Linked DNA regions of Nothobranchius furzeri. The protein of the gene in region 4 binds, or shares a complex with, the protein of the main gene of each other region. Links are inferred from orthologs where the notes say so. Each region holds a gene or a part of one and is shown on either strand. Other genes may lie near its edges. The genes, in order: nup50, exportin-5, ipo13b, ran and sirt2.

Region 1 (3,511 bases), about 60 Mb from region 4:
TCGGTCTGACCAACGGGGGCAGCAAGGCTCTGTACACTGGGGTCTCCAGTGCCACAGTAGGTGAGGACAACCCATCATTCTCCTAATGTCGCCTGTCTTCTGGAGGACTTAAGTCCACCAGATGCGTGATCAGGACCCTGACCGATACTCAGAAACAGATATTCAGAACCTCAGAGGTTGCCACATTGACTTGACTCATCAGGACCACCTCCCAAATCTTCTTTTAGGTCTGACCTTCAATGGGCCCTATGTCCCACCGACTGCTGACATCACCACCCGACAGACCAATGGCTCCTCCCCCAGCCCAACCCAGAGTAACAAGGAGTACCGGCGGCAACTGACAGCGCTGAACTGCTCTGTCCGTGACTGGATCACCAAACATGTGAACGACAACCCTCTGTGTGACCTGAACCCCATCTTCAGGGATTATGAACGCCATCTCAGCAGCATCGAGCAGCAACATGGAGGAGGAGAAGCTGCTGATGGAGGCTCGGAGACTCCTCCTCCTTCAGCAGCTCTGTTCTCTTTCAGTAGAACCACATCAGAGGACTTGGCCCAAAAAGTCTCTGGCACTGCTCCAGTGGCTTCTGGCATCACGTTCAATTTTGGCCAGAAGGTTGACAGCTCCGTTCTAGGATCTTTAAGGTCCAAATCAGCTGCCTCCAGCTTCTCTTTCTCCTCTTCAAGCCAGACCTCCCTTTTTGGAGCTCCTGGACCTGCTGCTCTGCCACCCTTCGGTGGGACCAAACCCGATGAGGCTGCAGGTTCTGTTTGATCTTTTATCCGTAGTCAAAAATTATTTCATTACATCAAAGTTAAACACAATTTAGGCCTTTAGGAATTCCTGCGTGAGATGTTGACCAGATCCTAACCCACTTCCTGCAGATGAAAATGGAGATGAGGAGTCGGAAGAGCCACCCAAACCAGAGGTGAAGGAAGTGAAGGAGGATGACGCATTTTACTCAAAGAAGTAGGTCCAATAATCAGCCTGATGCCTGAGGCGTGGAGCTGCTAATGAAACCTGTGTTCCGATGCTTTCAGGTGCAAACTGTTCTACAAGAAGGAGGCGGAGTTTAAGGAGAAAGGAGTTGGAACGCTGCACCTAAAAAACACCTCAGATGGAAAGATCCAGATGATCATTCGTGCGGACACCAACCTGGGTAAACCAGACTAACAAACAAGTGTTAAGATGTTGTAACTGAAGTCAAAAATCAAATTTTCTGTTTCTGTCAAAACTGGTGAAAACGGTTCAGTTTTCTTAAGCCTGGTTTATGCTTCTCCGTCAGCTCCGCAAGGGACAGACACGCACGGATTGACGGAAGCGTTTTGCGCTTTTACTTCTCCGTCTCCTGGGGAGTGTTGCAAAGCAATTGCCTGACAGGACCACAGAGGGCGTAGCGCTGTTCTGTGGTATCCTGTCATGTATCGGTCCAAGATCGTGTGTTTATATTGTGTTTTTTGTGTATATAAGAGACTTTTAACACGGACGTATTTGTCTCTCATTCTCCCACCGCTTCATGCGCTCCCCACCTCTAAACCCACGTTTCCTGTCATTTCCATCCACAAATAAAACGCTTGCTGCGCATCTTTTCACTCCTCCAGTCACGGGAGAATTAAACGTTCATATTTTTAGAGTTTTTTTCGCGAGGTATTCTTCAAGCTTCTCCGTGTCTGCCGCTAGTTATCCTCGGCTCTCTTTGCAATGGCGGCGCTGTAAACAACAGCGGCGTCCTGCCCAATCACAAGCTTGCGTAATCCGTCTCGTTCGACGGATGTTTAAAAAAGTGGGCTCGACTCCGTACGTACTTGCGTGCCTGCCGGAGCCCTACGCAAGGACGGATAATGGCGTTGCGTGTCTCCGCACTGACGCAGACGGAGAAGCATAAATCAGGCTTTAGTCAGTCAAGCCTCTACCAGAGTCTTACTCCACCCACATTTTCAGTGTAAGAAACGGACCACAAGCAAGCGTCGCCTGGTAGGTGCAGTCAGTGACAGACTGCTAGACACTCATCTATACATTTATCAGCAAAAAATGTTCTCATTCACTTGTTCAATAAATTATCTTTAGTCTTGGGTATTAATGAATGCCTTGTGGACAATTTTCCCTAATCACTTGGAGCACAGAGTAGAACAAAATGCAGCTTAATCACATAGTAGTGGTAGCAGCTACCCTGTAAGATGTCTTTAAGTGACATATGTGGAACACAGTTCTCTGAGAGAAATTAGATTTTCTTAAATGATTTGACAGTATTCTTTAACAAAATGAAAATCTGAACATATTTTATGGATGGTGAAGTGTAGTTAAACTGAATTTCTGCAATTTTCATTCAGTCTGGTCAGTATCTGTAATAGTCGATTAGGTCATTGCAAAAAATTCAAATTTTTTTAGAGGGTTTTGAAGAATCTTTCCTGAGTTTTCCCCTTTCAGAAAAATGTATGATTCTTCAGAAATCCGTAAAAGTGATTGCCTTATCATGTACTGTGGTGAAATTAATTCTATTTTCCTAAACTAAATGATTTTACATGACAAAGTATGAATGAAATGATGGTTGTACAGGATGACAGATGAATGAAATGATTGAGTGGAAGTTAGGTGTTTTAGCAAAACCTTTGAGTATCTGATAACTTGAGGTCTGGGTTGTAAAGTCAGTTTGGCTGGATGGTTTGATAAGCTAGAGATTATTCATGAAACCATCCAACGCTATTTGTGCCAGGTCTACGCACCCTTACGTGAAGATCAGGTCGAGATGGACACTGCTGATGGTGTGAACCTCTGGCACCGGAACTTGTAGCCAGCTCTGAGTACAACCCGTCTAGTATCAGAATCAGAATGAATTTTATTGCCAGCGCTCCAGCGATCCAGAGCATAGGAACTTGACTCCACAGTACAACCTGACCAAGATTACACACACACACATGTAGACAGGACAGATACAGGCAGACCACGGGAGCAGCCATGACGGCGCTCCTTATAGTAGATGAAGAGGGGATTACATGAGGAGAGTTCAGGGGAGAGAGAAAAAGGCATTAACAGGGTTACACCGGCAGGGTGTAGCACTCCAATGCAAAAAAAAACCACCCAACATATAAGCACAAATGTCACAGTTCACAACATGAGACCCAGTAGGTAGGGGGGAGGGGCTGGGACCCTGCTTTCCTCAGCGGGGGCTGCCTGTGTGGCGCTCAACCGGCTGAATCCACAGGTGGGAGGGAGGTCACGGGAAAGCACAGAGAGCAGTGAGTGCCTTCATCTTGATGACCTCGATGCAGAGACCACAATCTGAAGGTGGGGGGTAGGTAGGGTTTCACAGCATTTGTCTGCATTCCTTCCATCGTGGGGGTTGTTTTGCATGCAACTCAAGGCTGCTTATGGCATCAGATTCGATAACAGAACTTTGTTTGGGTCAGACAGAGATAATTTTTCCTCTCTGCCTTAAGTCTGTATTGATCATTCAAGTCCTCCAGTGAAGCCAATTCGGTGATTAAACATCTCCACACCGTCCGGTGACCC
Region 2 (4,195 bases), on a different chromosome or scaffold from region 4:
CTGCTGTTGTGAAATGTGTAATGTCATCTCTTCGAAAACAAAATTAAATAAATAAAACGCCGGATCAAGCGGTTGCTTAGAAAGGTCAAACTGAGGAACTAACCTGAACTGGATAAAATCAAAAGGGTCTTACTCAGGAAGCAAAATGAAGTTGGGACATAAAACGGAAGTTGTTGGCACAAATATCTCCTTCACTTGATTTTCGCTTTGTTTTTAATAGCTAACTAAATAAATAAATAAGAACGAAAGCAATATGTTTTTGCTGGATTTAACTTTACTTTAAATAAGTGAAAATCCACATTGACCTGCATGGTGCCAAATTGAGCTATTATCACATGGGAGCACTAAAACTATCTGTTAGAGAAGGCAGCACAACATCACAGATAAAATCTAAAAGGAAAAGAATAGAAATTCTCTTTATTGTCCTCCAGTTGGAACATTTGGTGTAACAGCACCAAAGTAAATTGACAGTAGCAAATAAGATTTACAATAATAATAAATACTAAAAGGCCATACAGGCCTATATGTGTAAAATAATATTTGAAAGATTGAATCAATTGAATTTACCACATCTGAAAATAGTGTGCACGAGATTGTAGCTAAATGTTGTGGAGTGAGAAAATGAATGGAAAAAGTTATTGTTTAAATGATGGACATAAAATGTTTCTAATGTGAATAGACTGAGTAAATATGCAAAATACTAAATGTGATAACCTAGAAATAGATAAATAGTAACGCTGTTAAGAAACAAAGTAATATGTTGCTTCTTTACTTGATGTAATTGTTGAGTATCCATACTTCATTGGAGTAATTATCTGACTGGAGTATTAGCTGACTTATTCGCTCTATTTCTTACATTTTCACACAGTTATCTCTATTTTCCATTCCTTAAATTTTAAAAATAGCCTAGTTATTGCTATTTTATTTTTGCTTGTCGGGGTTAAAATATACAAAAACAAAAAAAAACCTATCAAAATCAATTGTGCCGTACCATCCAGATAGTGACTTTGATTAGATCTTGATTTTAAACGTCTACTATTCTGTCACCTTATTAGTTTGTATCATCCAAAATGCATTCATCTTTGGTGGACATACATGCAACTGAAACAAGTAGCCTAATGTATTTAAATGTGTCAACAATACAAGATTATAGTCCTTGTGGCATTTGGTGAAAGTAGTTGGTTTAGCTGAGATTGCAGCATGTTCTGTTAGAAATTGAAGTTGTCCATAATTATAATTATTTATAATCAGCAGCACAGCAATAAAAATATACATTGTGGTGTTTTTTAAGCTTTTGGGGTTTTGATAATGTTTCACAAAATCCGTTTGATATTTAGATAAGACTTCAAAATTCTGACATTTGCACAATTTTGATTGCATTTATCAAAGCACTTTAAACTACAACATCCAGAGTTCCCCTCAACGGCAAGCCGAAGGATTCAAACCAAAAAGCAGCTTCGCGTTTTCTGCACGTTGGCGCTTCCCATTGCTGCACGCTTCTTGTGGTGGTTTTGCTTAAGGAGGTTGCTTGCTTTCGTCTTTAACGGTGTGACAGACGCTACCTGAAGTCATGGCTGAGCCGGTGGCTGCCATGTGCGATCAGCTTACAAAAGCTGTGCTTATGATGATGGATGCAGAAACAAGCCAAGTTGACCGAATGGAGGCCCTAAAGGTAGCATCGTTACCGGTTGCTAGCTAGTTAGCCACTACTCGTTAGCGAAGCTAGTAATTTCTTGCTGTTTTCAAGGGAAACATTATTAGCCCACTTAACCGAATCAATTACTGGTATTTTATGTAGTAATATCTTCGTAACAGCATGTAGCAAGTTCTGGTTTAGCATTATTATCACGTAAATGATTACATAATTTTACTTGAATTAGCTCATTCATTTGTTGTTGCGTTTACAAGCCTTTGCATGAACAGGTGAATTCCACTTAGAGGTGTTGATACTGAGATTAAATAACATCAAATTAATTTAACTGCCTATAAAATAAAGAAGTTTATCTTGCTCAGTTCTGTGAAGACTTTAAAGAGTCCAGCACCCTTTGTGTCCCATGTGGCCTTCGGTTAGCTGACAAAACCCACCCAGCTTTGGTGAGACACTTTGGTTTGCAAATCCTGGAGCACGTCATCAAGTAGGTGGACCACTGACACAGATAAACAAAGAATAAAGCACGTATGATTTTCATTTATTTTCACCTTTCAGGTATCGGTGGAACAACATGGAGCAACAAGAGAAAGTCCAGTTAAAAGAGTGTGCCATGCAGCTGCTGTCTTCTGTAGGTGAAAGAGTAAAATAGTTCAGATGAAACGTCAGCCCTGACTGTCTTCAGTATCTGTCACTTTCCCTTCTTATCAGGGTACCTGTTCTATCATGGAGGAAGAGAGACACATCAAAGATGGCCTATCTCGAATAATCGTGGAAATGATCAAGAGAGAGTGGCCTCAGAATTGGCCGGATATGCTGGAGGAGATGGAGGCTCTTACCAGTCGGGGGGTGAGTGACATGTATGGTCCAGGAAGTGTTGCTTTTTTCCTTAACCACTTTGGATTCAATTTAAATAGGATTATGTAATGCCTCGTAAACAAATGTACTCCTGTGGGGGATTTATCACGCTCGTTTTCATATGACGTCATTGCTCAGACTTGGCCACTGTACAACAGGTGTCTTCATCTCTCCCCTGTCAACATTAACAGTTTTATTGAATCGGTTGACCTAAGAAATACAACCTCCCTTGAGATGAAGTGTATAAAATAGAATAAAAATGTATATGTCACAGGAGACGCAGACAGAACTGGTCATGCTGATCCTTTTGAGGCTGGCAGAGGATGTCATCACTTTCCAGACTTTGCCCAGTCAGCGGCGCAGGGACATCCAGCAGACGCTCACTCAAAACATGGAAAGAATCTTCACTTTCCTGTTGACTATTCTGCGTATTCAAGTTGAGGAATATCGCATAGTGGTCAGTGTGGTCCAAACTTTGGTACTTTTCTTTAACTTTATTGAGTTTTGAACGGCTGAATTTGATTTTTCTTTGTCATTTAGAAAGTGGTGCCCGCGTGTGAACTGCAGGTATAAAAAAAAAAGCAACATCTAGACTAAACTCAACGTGGCCACCTTGATTTCACTTGTCTCATTGTCTCTGATGTTTTGCCTACAAACATGCAGGCCAAAGCTCACTGTCGCGTTGCCGTGGCGGTGCTCAACACACTCGCAGGCTACATAGATTGGGTGTCATTGGTGCACATCACCAGCGGAAACTGTAAGCTGCTGGAGATGTTGTGCCTACTGCTGGTTGAACCAGAGCTGCAGCTGGAAGCTTCGGAGTGTCTGCTCATCGCTTTGAGTCGGAAGGTGAGTCGCAGGAAAATAAGTGTTACTTTAGTTTAGTTGGTGTGTCATGGTGTGTCTTCACCTTTCTCAGTGGCCTAGTGGTAGAGTGTCCGCCCTGAGACTGGGAGATCAGGGGTTCGATTCCTGGTCGGGTCATAGCAAAGACTTTGAAAAAATGGGACCCAATGCCTCCCTGCTTGACACTCAGCATTAAGGGGTTGGATTGGGGGGTTAAACCACCAAATAGTTCCTGAGCGCGGCTTGTCTGCAGCGCACCGCTCCCCCAGGGGATGGGTCAAATGCGGAGAACAAATTTCGCACACACACCTGTGTGTGTGACAACTAATGGGACTTTAACTTTAAAGTGCTCCAGACTAGCAGAGCTATAAATAAAGCTTTATTTGGACTTAAAGCAGAAATCTGGAGCTTTTTTATCCAACACCATCATCTAGAGGCTTATGAATGTATAGCACCTTAAGCCGTCCTCACCACTTCCGTATTTACAGCTGGAAGCAACACCTCTGAGCCCTCACTCATCAAATGTTTGTAGAAATATTCCTATATTTCTTTCTATAAACGAAATGTAGAATGTTCGTAGGAACGGTAAAAGTCCTGATTTATGAAACATGCGGTGGCCTCTCCTACGTACGTTTCTTCGCAATCGTCTAACGATAAATCCCACGTTTATCGTTCATACCCAGGTGCTTGTGTCTGTTCAGTCATTTACATACAGAAACGCCCATTTAACCATATTTGGTCACACCACATCCTCAGCTCATGAAGGAATTCCCTTGGTTTTTTCCCCCCAAAAAATTTTTTTTAATTGAAAGCAAGATCGAGACACGTCATCCCACTCACCAG
Region 3 (3,511 bases), on a different chromosome or scaffold from region 4:
GTAATGAGTTAAAAAAGGAGGTAAAGATCATCAGGAAATGAGGAGGATATTCTTTTTGGTCTGAACAAGAAAACAGTTATTAGTGGACAACACTTTGTCCCCAAAATAGCAACAGATCCTTGACAACAGACACATGTATCCTAAAGCTAAAACAATTACTTTGATGCTAACGTTTAATCATTGCTGTCTCCATAGTGATAGAACATGAACGCCCAAAAAGAGAACGTGGACGTTGCTGCCACACCCCCTGATAGCTCCATCCTTTCCTCTTCCTCAGATGCATGTCTCCCCCACACTCACACACTGCTCCCCATCAGCCCTGATGAGGAACAACACAGAGGTCTTCCCACTAGGTGCCACTGTTTAGCTAGCTCCAGAATCAGCACTTGACTGCATTGCCTGACGTAATGCTGTGACATTAAGCTGCGTGGAAGACAACACGTGAGGGAGAAAGTTGGACCAGACTGTGTGGAGGGTGGGGAAGTAAGACAGGAACAAAGAGAGAAATTAAAGCTTAGTATCTCTGTTCCTCTGTGCCAGGGGTTTAACCGATGTGAGTAAAAAGCAAATATCAAAGTATTTTTAGATCAGCCCTGCTCTGTATTCACACATCGCAGCAGAAGAGTAAATATCTGAGCTCTGATAGGTGTGACATTTCAGCAAAGTGAAGAATTTTCTTTTTGAAGACAAACAAAATCACAAGGTGGAGAAACATGAACAAATAGCTTTTGTTTTTACTTCATTAACGAGTGAGAAGGTGAATCTTTGCTGCTTCCATGTGAGTCACTTGCCCACGGTGCAGGCGGGGTCAAAACCAATCTGGTCCTGCAGAGAAATGTTCCACTGCAGCAACACCATACAGGCACCAGCTCTGATCCTTTTGGCCAAGGTCCAACTGTTCCTGCTCTGTGTGTGTGTGTGTGTGTGTGTTGCTTTTCTCTAGCTGTGTGTACTGACCGTCTCATCTGCTAGCTTTTCCAGTTGCTGAATGTAAGGAGTGATGAGGGAATGAAGGTTTCTTAAGATGTCCTCCACGGGGAGAGCCGAAAGCAGGAAGCCAAGAGCCTGCATCAGCCACATACACTGACTTGTCTGTGGGAGGAGACACAGGTTTAGCTTCAACTTAGGAGCTGAAAGTCAATAAATACTTCTAATTAAAACAAACTGCAGCCTGTAAACACATGATGTTATTTTTAGATTTCCTTTCTTCTGAGCTGTCAGAGTGAAGACAACAAACACAAACCTTATGGATCTGCTTGATGAGCACCTCCTAGAAAAACAAGAGAGTCATCGTGAAGGCAGAATAAAGACAAAGGAAAGAAACTTTAAACAAACACAGCCGAGTTATTTCTGGAACATTATACACATCCACAACACCTCAGATGTGAAACGTGATGAAGAGGCACTTGTGTTATAAACTGCTTCCACGCTTGTTTTAAACGATGTACCTGAGAAACTGCTACTATGTTGGTTGCGTAAGGTGGCAGGTCGTGTTTGCATTCCCGGCAGATTTTCTTTAAGGTTGAGACAGAAGAAACGGAAAGGTCGGGGTTTCCTAATGCTTGCAACACCAAAGGCAGCACACTGCTGAGCATCACTGGGTGATCGGCCAACCATTCAGCCAGAGCCCCTACACAGACAGCAGCGATTCAAACACAGAGCAAAAACCGTTAGCTACTGTCCATCACAAGGTTTTGATCACATTTCCCCCTTACCTATAGTGAACATCACAGTGTCGGCTAACTGGACATTGTTGATGTTGATTCTGGGGATGAGTCCTATCAAGCCAGGAATGACGTCAGAATAGTTCACGTCTATCGTCTCTGCTATGGACTGGAAGCCGTACAGCAATGCTTCTGTGTGCTGGAGGACAAGAACAGGCTGAGACTTCAAATCTCATTTCCTCTAGCTTGTATTGATTTGAAGTGGAGTGCTGAATTTTTTCAGTGCAGGCGTCTCTGTGAGACAGGAAGAAATAGAAAATAGCAGCAATAATTCTTTCCTCGTCTGCGTGCTTCACCCACCTGCCATGATGTCAGCTGCTCTGTGTTCGTCAACAGTCGCCCTAGTTTATCGTACAGGTTACTCAGCAGCTCCGCTCCCAGCATCTCGTACACATACATGAGCGTGTCGGAGATGTCCACCCTGAAGGACGGACAAACACAAACAGATGCTTCAGTGGCACGAAATCATGACATCTTATCAGCTCATCCATCCCACAGACACGTTTTGCTTGCTCAGCTGTCAGTTCAGTAAGAGTCCATTAGAGAGAAGAACAGACTCATTTTCTGACCAATCAGCCTGTCAGGGAGTCATTTCTGATACACTGAACAGTCAGTGAAACACAGCAGAACACGTGTTAACAGAGACGGACATGAATACAAATGCACAAACAAGCACCGGTAAATCCTGAACTGCTCCTTTTCATCAGAGGACCAGGATGCATACTCCTGGTCAGAGGGGAACTGGGCTTTGTGCAGCAGAACGTCCACCAGCTGGAAATACACTGGCCTGTAGACCTGGAGATACACCGCCTGTTTATCGGTCTCGAATGACATGATCTCATCCTGTAAATGGAGAAAACATCACCACAAATACTTCATTTGCATTTTGAAGGAAACGAGAATGTGCATTTACATGTGAAAACAATTCAGTAACGAATTATTTACTAAAGAAAGTAAAAACATTTATCAGGAATTCTTTTATTTATTTTTTTAGCATTAGGATGTCAGTTTACAGACAAAACAAAGCCTGTCCCAGCACACCAAGTAGCAGGTTGATTTAAGATGTGAACAATTCTTACTTGTAGTGTGTACCAGAAGGTAAGTGTGAGGGAGCTTGTGGTCTCGTTGACCGGATAGTGGCCGGGGATGCCCGTACAAAACATGATCAAGTTTACTAAAGCCAGGAAGCTCTGCCAGTGATCCACCTGCTCCAACAGAGTCCTGTGGGTACAGAAATAAGAGCAGTAGAAAGAAGAATGTGATTTTATTTTATATAAACTATCTATTCAGCTGTCTGATTCCTGAGGTTTGGACTGGATATAGGGATTTAAAAACAGACAAGGAGGAGGACTGACTTCCACGGGAACAACCTGCCTCTACAAGTCAAACAGCCTTCCCCCTAGTTTAAATTGGCACTGAAAACCCATCTCTTGGTCTTGGCTTTTAACACAATATGAGATGTTGATTTTAGGTGTTTCTTAGCATTTTACCTCATTATTGGATTGCTTTTACCCATCTTATATTGGGCTGTTGTATGCCGTTTGTCTATTTTATTCTCATTTTAAACTGGATGATTGTTGATTTTAGTATTTTGGCTCACTCCTGTGATGTTAGAATCCATGCTTAAGGCTGTTACACGTGTTTTATATTTTAAATTGTATGTATGACATCACTGACTTTGACTTATGACTTGTACTTTATTTCAAATGTAAAAAAAAACATTTTTTATACAACACAACTCAACACAAAAGCAATCAAATATTTAAGTCCGAAAAGGAGCAGTTAGA
Region 4 (4,260 bases):
ATAGAAATGGTAGCTTAATGCTTCTCATGAATGAATCAAACAGAATGATTTTCCCCAAGGGGATCAATAAAGTACACATTATTCATCATCTTTATGTTGAATGTTTGACATGTTAATATATTTATAATACCGGGAACAGTATTCATCCAGGATCTCCCTTCTCTCCCATTCAATTCTTTTCAATATAAATTAGGACAAAGATGTTATCTACAAGTTTAAACCCTGTATAGTTTCACAAAAAATAATGTTTGACTCATTGTTTTACCGTTTTCCATTTAAAAACATCACCAACCCAAAGCAGCTGTTAGTTGTAGAATTTCAGACATTGCAGAATGACACCAAGTTTGTTAAACTAATATATAAAAAGGTTGGTATTGCTTGATTTTCCATCTACTACAATCAGTTATGTGACTGATGCTGGAAGTCATTTATAGCTAGCTATATGGAGTAACTAGTACTTAGAATTTCTGCATTTTTGCACTCTTTGGGATTACTGAGGACAGTCATTCTTATTTGGCCTATTATTCATAGACTTGATAAGAGAATGGTTTTAAATAACATGGACATGAAATAGTTGTGTTTATCTTTCAACTACAAGAATAATAAAAACCACTTGTTTTATGAAGTAATTTCAACAAACACTAATTTCACAGGAAGACCAGAACTGTGCATTTTACACGTCTGTGTCATAAACTTGTGATGCAGCGATTTTACAATATTTTCTGTAAATGTGATGTTCTAAACATTAGTGGCAAACCTAATTTGGTAAAAACAAACACTGGGTTAGTCTTGTACAGTTTACATTTAACTTTCTCAGGTTACTCACCAACATACTTCTTCTCAAACTCTCCTGTAATGTGTCTCTTCACAAAAGTTGTTTTTCCCGTGCCTCCATCTCCGACCAACACCAGCTGTGAAGAACAGACCAGTTATCTACTGACCGGTTTGTGCTGGTACACCAGTTACCTCAGCTAAAACGCACACATTTTTGCCCTCACGCGCCATAATTAGATCATACTTAACATCATTCTTAAGAAGTAGATTCTTACCTTGAACACCGCCACAGGTACACACTGTCCCATAGAGTCAGCCATGGTTCCAAATATTCTGAAACAAACAAGGCGGGAATCTACCGTTAGTGTTATCTATACGTTGATTTAAGTTAAAGATTCTCAATAACTCAATTTGGCATTCTGGGAATATTGTTCACACGGGGCTTTGAACACGCACCATTCTGTACAGACGAGTTTACAGCTAAGGGATAACTTCTAGCATGTTCTATCCAAGCTAACGTTCCGACATGTTCAAATGCGACGTTATAATTTATGAAAGCTTGCTAACGCATCAACAAACAGCCTCTAACTGCTCTCCGGTGTGCCAAAATATAAAGTAAAACAAAGCTACCGTGCCCCCCAAAAGCCTCAGCACTGGCGGTTACCAACTAGCCTTCAAGCTAACAGGCGTTAGTTTAGTGCGCCATATGATGCCTGAGCGCACTTTTTCAGGTTCGACTGGAACAATCAGACAGTCACAGAAGCTAATGCGTTCCATGTTGCCGTCAATTTCTGGTCTAAACAAGACGCCTTCCGTAAATAACGTTAATTGCGAACAAGAAAAAATTGTGAAAACTCCCTGGCAAATATACACAAATAAGAGTAATAGGAACAAATATCCCAGAACAAAGCCGTGAAATGGAGCATTGCTGTGCTCGCTAGCCTCACAGCTAGCACAGCATGGAAGCCATTCTTCCCCGTTAGCTGGTAGCACAAAAAATGCGACGGCCTTTCCCCCTCAACTGCTGTTAAGGCTGCACATGCAAAACGACCTTAACCCAAAAGAAGAAAATAACCCAAAAAGTTTTGTTTCATTCTTAGTGACTTAAAAACAATCCAAACTTGACATTTAGGAAGGCCCTCAATTGAAGAGGAAACTAGCGACTCACCGGTGTCACTGCGAAGAGAGGAAAGAGTAAATGGCTGCGTTCGCGGCAGATTCAGCGTGGACTATGAGTCACTTTCCGCCCTGGTCACGTGGCCTCCGCAGCGCCAAAAACGCATAAAATATAGAACATGAATCAGCATCCGTCTGATATACCTTCACGATGCGCACTCCGCTGCTTTGTTCTCAAAGCAACACTTCTAGAGATTAAACCGTATATATCATGTTTTTAAAGTGTTGATCAAGACATATGGGCCCGATAAGAAGCCAGCTAGTTTTTGTTGTTCAAAGGTTTCTGCCCTTTTCTGAAAACTTCCAAGGACCTTCGGGGTTATAAATCATAAATTTGACATTTGCACTAAAAGGAGGTTTTGACAGGAGGAGCCTTTCCCAGACACCAGTGTCTTTCTGTACTTCTCTACTTCAGGAACCCCTTTCAGGCTCTCTAAAGATTACGGAGTAATGAAGGGAGGCAGATGCCCGATGATATGTGTTACTTAACTCTATAGACATTTCTGTGTTTATGTCCATGCTTTAACCCCGGCTCTTCCATTGTTTGTTCCTGTAGCAAAGTTAACACGCAGGGTTAAAGAGTGGCCTTTAAAACTCATCTGGTTTAAAAATACATAATCAATTTGTATAATTTCACCCGTAGTTCATACCTTAGTGGAAACTGCAAACCAGAGCTGACAGAAATGGGACCAAGTAATAGGTTCAAATGATTCTGGGCCTGTGTTTTATATTAGATCATGCAGTTAAATAAAACAGATCTAACAAGCTTGAAGAATTTTCCTGAAAAACATGTTATGACTGTTGATGAGGCACAAAAGAAGCAGAGAGAATTAAAACTAATTTGTACTCTTTTTAAATTACATTATTAAACTGCTATGACATTTTTCAAGTTGTGATTGCACTTAAACTAGCTGTTAGCTCATCAATCCTGTTGAATGTTTCAGTCCATTCAGAAAGCTAAATAAAATAGTAATTACTTATATCCTTTATATAAAAATACACTTCAAACTGGTCAAAACAATTCTGTTGAGGTTGAAATCAGAAGCTGCAGGTATGCTTCACTCCCAATTCTCCAACTAATCTAACACCAGCCTAGGTTTAAAATATGGTTTATTTAATTACCCTCAGTTGTTCTGGAGAAGCATTACATTGAAATGTTCAACTTAAAAACAATAAAAAATGTTTTAATGTGTCTGTAAATATCAGTGAGTAAAAACAAATGAATTCAACACATGAACAGTTCAAACTAACCCAATCCTACAACAAAACAAGCCAAACAGTGCCTGACCAACAAGAAAGCTCCCAACCTGTTCTAGCCAATGGCAAAAGAGCTGTAGTATTTAACCCTGGCTGATCCACTGAGTAGAAAACATTCTGTGGATAAGGAATAGTCGAGTCAGTTGGAGACAGGTCAAATCATTACCGCATGAGACCATCATTAGGTTAAAAACTGCCATATATCTAAAATAACGAAAGATAAAGAAAATTTTGCAAAAATGCTTACTAAGTAGAACTCGAGGGAATAGTGAAATGATTTCCAGAAACACATTATAAGGACTAACCAATGTAACCAGACTAAACAGCCGTTTAGCTCAGAGAGACACGCATTACTGAGGATATAAACCTCAGTTAGATGGGAAGCAGCAAGACTGATTCCTGACAACAACAGGATCTAAATGATTTAAGATGTTATTTTTCTAATAAAGGATTAACCAACAGAGCCACCCCCCCCCCCCAGTCATAAATACAAGATGAAAATTTAAGTTACTCAGTTAAGTTTTATGATTTACAGAAAAAGCTCAACAGTGAAGGTGTGCCTATAAAAAAGCTTTTAGAACAACTTTTGTTAGATTTGTTTATTTTTGTTTATGGCCAGTTAATGTATGATTACTGGGCTTGCTTCAAAATGAGCATTTTAACTCCACAACATGTAGCTATTTCTATAATGTACATAAGCATGATGCCAAAATGGTTTGTTTTTACAAGAAGTGGTTTATCTGTACAAATAGTCTGCCTGTATATTGGCTGCTATCTCAGGCTCCCATCGGTCTCCGTTGTTGAGCAGCTTTTCCTTGTTGTAAAGAAGCTCCTCGTGCGTTTCTGTAGAAAACTCAAAGTTTGGACCCTGAGGAGAAGGTTGAGAGAAAAATATCAAACAGCAAATACTGGATAGGAAAAGGTAAGCAGCGATTCTTTTTTGTGGAAGAAGTGTTGCTTTTTGTTTGATGACATTTTCTCTTTTCTCACCTCCACAATAGCATCAACAGGACAGGCTTCCTGGCAGAAACCACAATAGATGCACTTGGTCAT
Region 5 (4,034 bases), on a different chromosome or scaffold from region 4:
TGGCCTGCCAGACTCGTCCTGTTGAATTCTGCACAGACAAAGAGTCTGGGAACTCACAGGCAGAGAGGCACACGAGGGGCGGGACTAGGCAGCTCAAAATAACCAATCAGGAAAAAGACGAAATGCCGACTGTACCGCGCGACGCTGTAGTTTTCTACCTGCAGTAAAAAATGGCGTCTGGCAACGGCGCAAACATCTTTCTTTAGAAGAAAGGCTTTTAGCGCTTGTCCAAGTCATTTAGACCAGAGGAAAGAGCCGCAGCGAACTCCGCTTCAGTCGACATGTTTATGACAAACTCGGCGTTGTGGTGTGTGACGTATGCTACTCAGCGCTGATTGGCTCGGTTAGAATTCTCAGGGGGTGGGGTTATTTCACTTCTGCTTCCGGTCAACAACAAGATGGCGCCTGTGCTTGGCTTAGCCACAGTCACCGGCCATTTTTTCAAACTTTTCTCCACTAACCTCCTCTTTTCCACCTTGCTCCTGTCTGCGATCCTCTTCAGTGGTGTCCCCGCTACCATCTCCTATGATCGCCAGACTCTTTAGTCCTCACGATCGCCCAAGACGCAACGAGGACGTACCATCCTGTTTGTTTACCTGAGTGGCGCACTGGCCCGGAACCAATCGACGGTCCCGAGCTCCCCGCCTCCGGCAATGTTTGTCCGGTCCCGGGAAAACGTCGGAGGAAAAGAGGTAAACGAGCAGGAATCCAGGTGAGAATAAGACTTCTCTTAAAGCGTGGTTTATCTGGTAAACATCGGCGCGATCTTCTAGCTTCTTGTCCTTTGTTTGGTGACCTGAGCGCCACTTCCACATTCCCGCCAGGCCGCGTTGCAGCGCGGTTCATCCGTCCAAGTTTTTTAAGGTCGCTTTATCAGAGTGCTCAGACACGTGAAAAGAGAGTTACAGTAGTCTAAGTGTGAGGAGATGAAGGTGCGGATAACTGTCTCAAGTTCAGAGCGGGACAGAATGGGACTCAGCTTAGCAACGTTCCTGAGATGGAAGAAGGAAGAGCGAATAAGAGAACTGACATGAGAATCCAGGGTGAGAGCTGGGTCAAAGGTCACGCCAAGATTCCTGTCAGAGCGTTTGAAAGAAGAGTGAAGGAAGCTATTAAATGGGAAAGACCTACATTAAATAGAAGAGGAAGCACTGGGTTTCAACTTTCTACCACCTATAATGCAGCTTTGACTCTAATTCCCAAACAGTTTTAGTCTAGGTCACCGCCTCCTACATCTAATCAATACAACTTCCACACAATAGAGGCTAACGACTCCAAAAGGAGTATGGAGGATGGGTATTCATAGGTAGTTTCTACTCGCTAAGCAGTGATACACAGCTGTGGTTTATATGCTTGACTCTCCCCTACACCTGTCAGAATTGACAAAGATGAGAAGCGAAACATCTTTAAGAAACTAAAGGAGTCCCGTTGCCTTCATTAGGAGCTACTTTGGATTTCTTCAGGAATATAAAACTTCCAGCAGAACAAAGGTGGTGAAAACACCAGACAATTGAAGTTAAATGCACAAAATGTTCAAGGGGTGGGAGAAATGATGGACCTGTGGGAGTCGCACATGTGGCCCACCTCCAGACACCAGAAACCTTTATTAGTAGTAGTAAACATTGTATTTAAGCTCCAGATGTTCTAGGTGCATTCTTATCTCCTATTGTGTATACTGAGACATCTGATTGTTTGTTTTTGTTTTTTTTTTGGGGGGGGGGGGGCGTTTACAGTCAAAGGGGGAGACGTGGAGCTCATGCAGTCATCTGCTGCTTTCTTCATCACATCTCCTCTCACCCACGGGTCGGAGATGACCAAAACCATCCGACACACCTGGTGGTCCGGCCTCGCGGCTTGTCACCGGGTAAAACACCCAGACGCCTCGCTAACAACGACAACACAGAGGTTCAGCACTTCGTCAACTTTAGTCTGAACATAATTCCCGGACGTTTTTCTAAACATATCAATTGACTCTAAATGAGTGTTTTTCTTCTCTCGACGTGTCTTCCTTTGGTTTCGTCTCCGTGGCTCCACGAAGGCGGAAGAGCTGCTACAGGCCACCGGGTTCCCACCCATCGACATAAATATACGTTCCCACCACGAGTCTCACCTGTTCTTCGGGTGAAACCTCCTCTTCTACTTGGTTGGGAAAATCTGCGATAAAAAACAAAACGTGTCAAGTAACCTCGACTGACTAGTTAGCTAGCGCAGCGATGCAAGTTATTGTTCGGACATGACAGCTGCCCTACCTGATGCATCAGACATCTATCCGTCTGTGGACACGTAACAGCACTAAATGTAAAGCCTTTAATATTAATAAATGTTTTCAGGCCTCAGCTGTTGGCTCTACTTCCGCTCCGTATTATTTTTGTCCGTCATAAATAGCGTCCGAGTTCGTCATGAACCCGATCATGTGGTTCCTACTCAGGTTAACAAACCCGAAAATGTAAGCAAAAAAATGCCACCACGGGAGATTATAATTTATAGTACAGATATTATTAGTATCTGAAAATGAAGAATAAACTCTACAGAAAACAAAGATCTTTACACACAGAGGTGTGTTTGTCCAGCTGGAGCTAGCCAGGTGCATCTTCACCGCTCTGCTCTGGGCTGTAACTCTGATGCAGCAACGTCTCTCTGGATCATTGGCTTTAGTTTTATCATTCAATCTTCTACTGTCAGGATTAGATATATAGACAGCCAGACTATAATGTTCAATATGAAAATAGAGAAAAATGCTGGACGTGCTGCAGAGGTGTAAGAAATTTTATCTGGTGCTCTTCAGCCAAGGGATCCACATGAATGTTGGGCAAAAGGAGATCTGAGGCGCTCAGGAGATGCAACATCAAAAAGCCTTTATTGGCTACGAAATTTCCAGGTCTTAATTGAGAATTGGACTTTGCTCCTTTTTTGTAATTCTATGTTTTCTTACCATATTTACTTGTTTTTCCTTTTTCTCAATTCTCTAAGTGTAATTTAACATGTGTAAGTATGTCTCCTTACAATATTGTTTAGAATCTAAAAGTGTTTTTTGTGCGTTATTGGTCATCCAATCATGATGCTGCCTGCCTGCTCAACTTCAGCAGATGTCACTGATTGGCCTTCTTAACATGGAAGTGAGAGGACCGACAAACATTTTGAGCCCTGGCGAAGGCCCCGTGGGCTGAAACGCGTCGGCGCTTATGTTTCTAACTATTTTAGCCATGCACCAATAAAGGCTTTTTGATGTTGCATCTCCTGAGTGCCTCAGATCTCCTTTTGCCCAACATATAATGTACAATAACAGATTTATTCATCTGAATTTTGAATAGAATAATCTTTATTAAGCAAATGTACAATCAAGACCACAAACGAAAACTCTGCAAGGACAAAAATAACATTTAAATGATACAGAAAAGAGCTTCTTCATATTCATATTCCCATGATGGAAACAGGAAGTGATCATCTCAAACCTAAACAGCAAATAATCTAAGAAACATGGGCAGTTTGTCTATCCCACCCTTTTTTATTTATCTGTATTTATTTTTTTGTGTTCCCTCATAAGTCATAAATAAAAATATACAAATATTATAGCTGCTGTCCCATCGATCTACTGCTGCTGCCCCTGTACACGCTCCTCCTCCACACACACCTTATCAGCAGGTCTCAGTCTGTGGCCATAACCATCAGCTATGATCTGACAGTGTGGCAGCATCTCCTCCAGCAAGATGATCACCAGCCCGGGATTCTGAAGCCTCGGGAGGGATGACACGTTCAGGTGCTTCAGTCTCCTGAGCAGAAAAACCAAAAACATGTTCCAGTATTGTTTATTATTTATAAATTAGACTCTGCTATGAGTTTAGGCTCTTTACTTGAGATTTTTAAGTGTTGCCAGGCCGCCTGTAGTGATGAGTGGACAGTGAGAGATATCCAGCTCCTCCAGAGAGTCCTGCAATACATGGAGTTTAGCCAGGAACCAGTCGTCCACCTCAGGACAGCCCTGAAGCTTTAGTGTCCGTAAATGGTGCTGATGCTCTGAAAACACACAAATATTT

The links.
Region 1: the proteins of ran (region 4) and nup50 are in contact, whole or in part, in a crystal structure (PDB 7MO0), measured with the Homo sapiens proteins. The link is inferred for Nothobranchius furzeri from reciprocal best matches to the Homo sapiens genes RAN and NUP50. Residues at the interface, in NP_006316.1 of Homo sapiens: Arg29, His30, Thr32, Gly33, Glu34, Phe35, Glu36, Phe52, Val124, Asp125, Ile126, Lys127, Ser153, Asn154, Tyr155, Phe157, Glu158, Phe176, Ala178, Pro180, Ala181, Leu182, Ala183, Pro184, Glu186, Val187, Asp190, Pro191, Ala194, Tyr197; in NP_009103.2 of Homo sapiens: Pro344, Pro345, Lys346, Val347, Val352, Lys362, Cys363, Lys364, Phe366, Tyr367, Lys368, Asn371, Glu372, Phe373, Lys374, Glu375, Lys376, Gly377, Ile378, Lys384, Lys390, Gln392, Leu394, Arg396, Thr399, Asn400, Leu401, Asn403, Ile404, Leu405.
Region 2: ran (region 4) and exportin-5 share a complex: the UniProt entries of both Homo sapiens proteins name them as parts of the nuclear export receptor complex. The link is inferred for Nothobranchius furzeri from reciprocal best matches to the Homo sapiens genes RAN and XPO5.
Region 3: the proteins of ran (region 4) and ipo13b are in contact, whole or in part, in a crystal structure (PDB 3ZJY), measured with the Homo sapiens proteins. The link is inferred for Nothobranchius furzeri from reciprocal best matches to the Homo sapiens genes RAN and IPO13. Residues at the interface, in NP_006316.1 of Homo sapiens: Lys37, Lys38, Tyr39, Leu43, Gly44, Val45, Val47, Pro49, Trp64, Gly74, Leu75, Arg76, Asp77, Gly78, Tyr79, Ile81, Gln82, Asn103, Arg106, Asp107, Arg110, Val111, Tyr147, Trp163, Arg166; in NP_055467.3 of Homo sapiens: Leu33, Tyr34, Tyr35, Ile39, Lys42, Gln46, Leu49, Met50, Gln53, Glu73, Tyr76, Phe77, Ser80, His83, Ile84, Ile118, Thr121, Arg122, Val125, Val172, Glu175, Glu176, Thr179, Ser414, Asp415, Arg784, Asp785, Pro787, Asp788, Pro829.
Region 5: the proteins of ran (region 4) and sirt2 are in contact, whole or in part, in a crystal structure (PDB 5FYQ), measured with the Homo sapiens proteins. The link is inferred for Nothobranchius furzeri from reciprocal best matches to the Homo sapiens genes RAN and SIRT2. Residues at the interface, in NP_006316.1 of Homo sapiens: Phe35, Glu36, Lys37, Lys38, Tyr39, Val40; in NP_036369.2 of Homo sapiens: Phe96, Arg97, Glu116, Phe119, Gln167, Ile169, His187, Ile232, Val233, Phe234, Phe235, Gly236, Glu237, Ser238, Leu239, Phe244, Gln265, Val266, Gln267, Pro268.

Annotation. Positions count from the first base shown.
Region 1 is NC_091741.1:31,616,093-31,619,603, reverse strand, and holds part of nup50 (nuclear pore complex protein Nup50), read left to right. Parts: coding exon 1-60; intron 61-227; coding exon 228-764; intron 765-885; coding exon 886-970; intron 971-1,041; coding exon 1,042-1,160; intron 1,161-3,511. UniProt on the Homo sapiens protein: Component of the nuclear pore complex that has a direct role in nuclear protein import. Actively displaces NLSs from importin-alpha, and facilitates disassembly of the importin-alpha:beta-cargo complex and importin recycling.
Region 2 is NC_091752.1:19,803,402-19,807,596, reverse strand, and holds the start of exportin-5, read left to right. Parts: upstream 1-1,391; 5' UTR 1,392-1,570; coding exon 1,571-1,672; intron 1,673-2,013; coding exon 2,014-2,135; intron 2,136-2,206; coding exon 2,207-2,279; intron 2,280-2,359; coding exon 2,360-2,497; intron 2,498-2,780; coding exon 2,781-2,963; intron 2,964-3,046; coding exon 3,047-3,073; intron 3,074-3,169; coding exon 3,170-3,355; intron 3,356-4,195. UniProt on the Homo sapiens protein: Mediates the nuclear export of proteins bearing a double-stranded RNA binding domain (dsRBD) and double-stranded RNAs (cargos). XPO5 in the nucleus binds cooperatively to the RNA and to the GTPase Ran in its active GTP-bound form.
Region 3 is NC_091748.1:47,618,607-47,622,117, reverse strand, and holds part of ipo13b (importin-13), read right to left. Parts: intron 2,946-3,511; coding exon 2,804-2,945; intron 2,568-2,803; coding exon 2,401-2,567; intron 2,146-2,400; coding exon 2,025-2,145; intron 1,864-2,024; coding exon 1,716-1,863; intron 1,631-1,715; coding exon 1,449-1,630; intron 1,271-1,448; coding exon 1,244-1,270; intron 1,093-1,243; coding exon 958-1,092; intron 1-957. UniProt on the Homo sapiens protein: Functions in nuclear protein import as nuclear transport receptor. Serves as receptor for nuclear localization signals (NLS) in cargo substrates.
Region 4 is NC_091741.1:91,737,502-91,741,761, reverse strand, and holds the start of ran (GTP-binding nuclear protein Ran), read right to left. Parts: upstream 2,810-4,260; 5' UTR 1,943-2,809; intron 1,450-1,942; exon of another isoform or gene 1,231-1,449; intron 1,108-1,230; 5' UTR 1,095-1,107; coding exon 1,050-1,094; intron 912-1,049; coding exon 827-911; intron 1-826. Other genes in the region: ndufs8b (NADH:ubiquinone oxidoreductase core subunit S8b), read right to left, coding at 3,944-4,075, 4,198-4,260. UniProt on the Homo sapiens protein: GTPase involved in nucleocytoplasmic transport, participating both to the import and the export from the nucleus of proteins and RNAs. Switches between a cytoplasmic GDP- and a nuclear GTP-bound state by nucleotide exchange and GTP hydrolysis.
Region 5 is NC_091753.1:65,615,932-65,619,965, reverse strand, and holds the start of sirt2 (NAD-dependent protein deacetylase sirtuin-2), read right to left. Parts: upstream 2,807-4,034; 5' UTR 2,266-2,806; coding exon 2,250-2,265; intron 2,155-2,249; coding exon 2,111-2,154; intron 1-2,110. Other genes in the region: dmac2 (distal membrane-arm assembly complex protein 2), read right to left, coding at 3,590-3,770, 3,852-4,014. UniProt on the Homo sapiens protein: NAD-dependent protein deacetylase, which deacetylates internal lysines on histone and alpha-tubulin as well as many other proteins such as key transcription factors.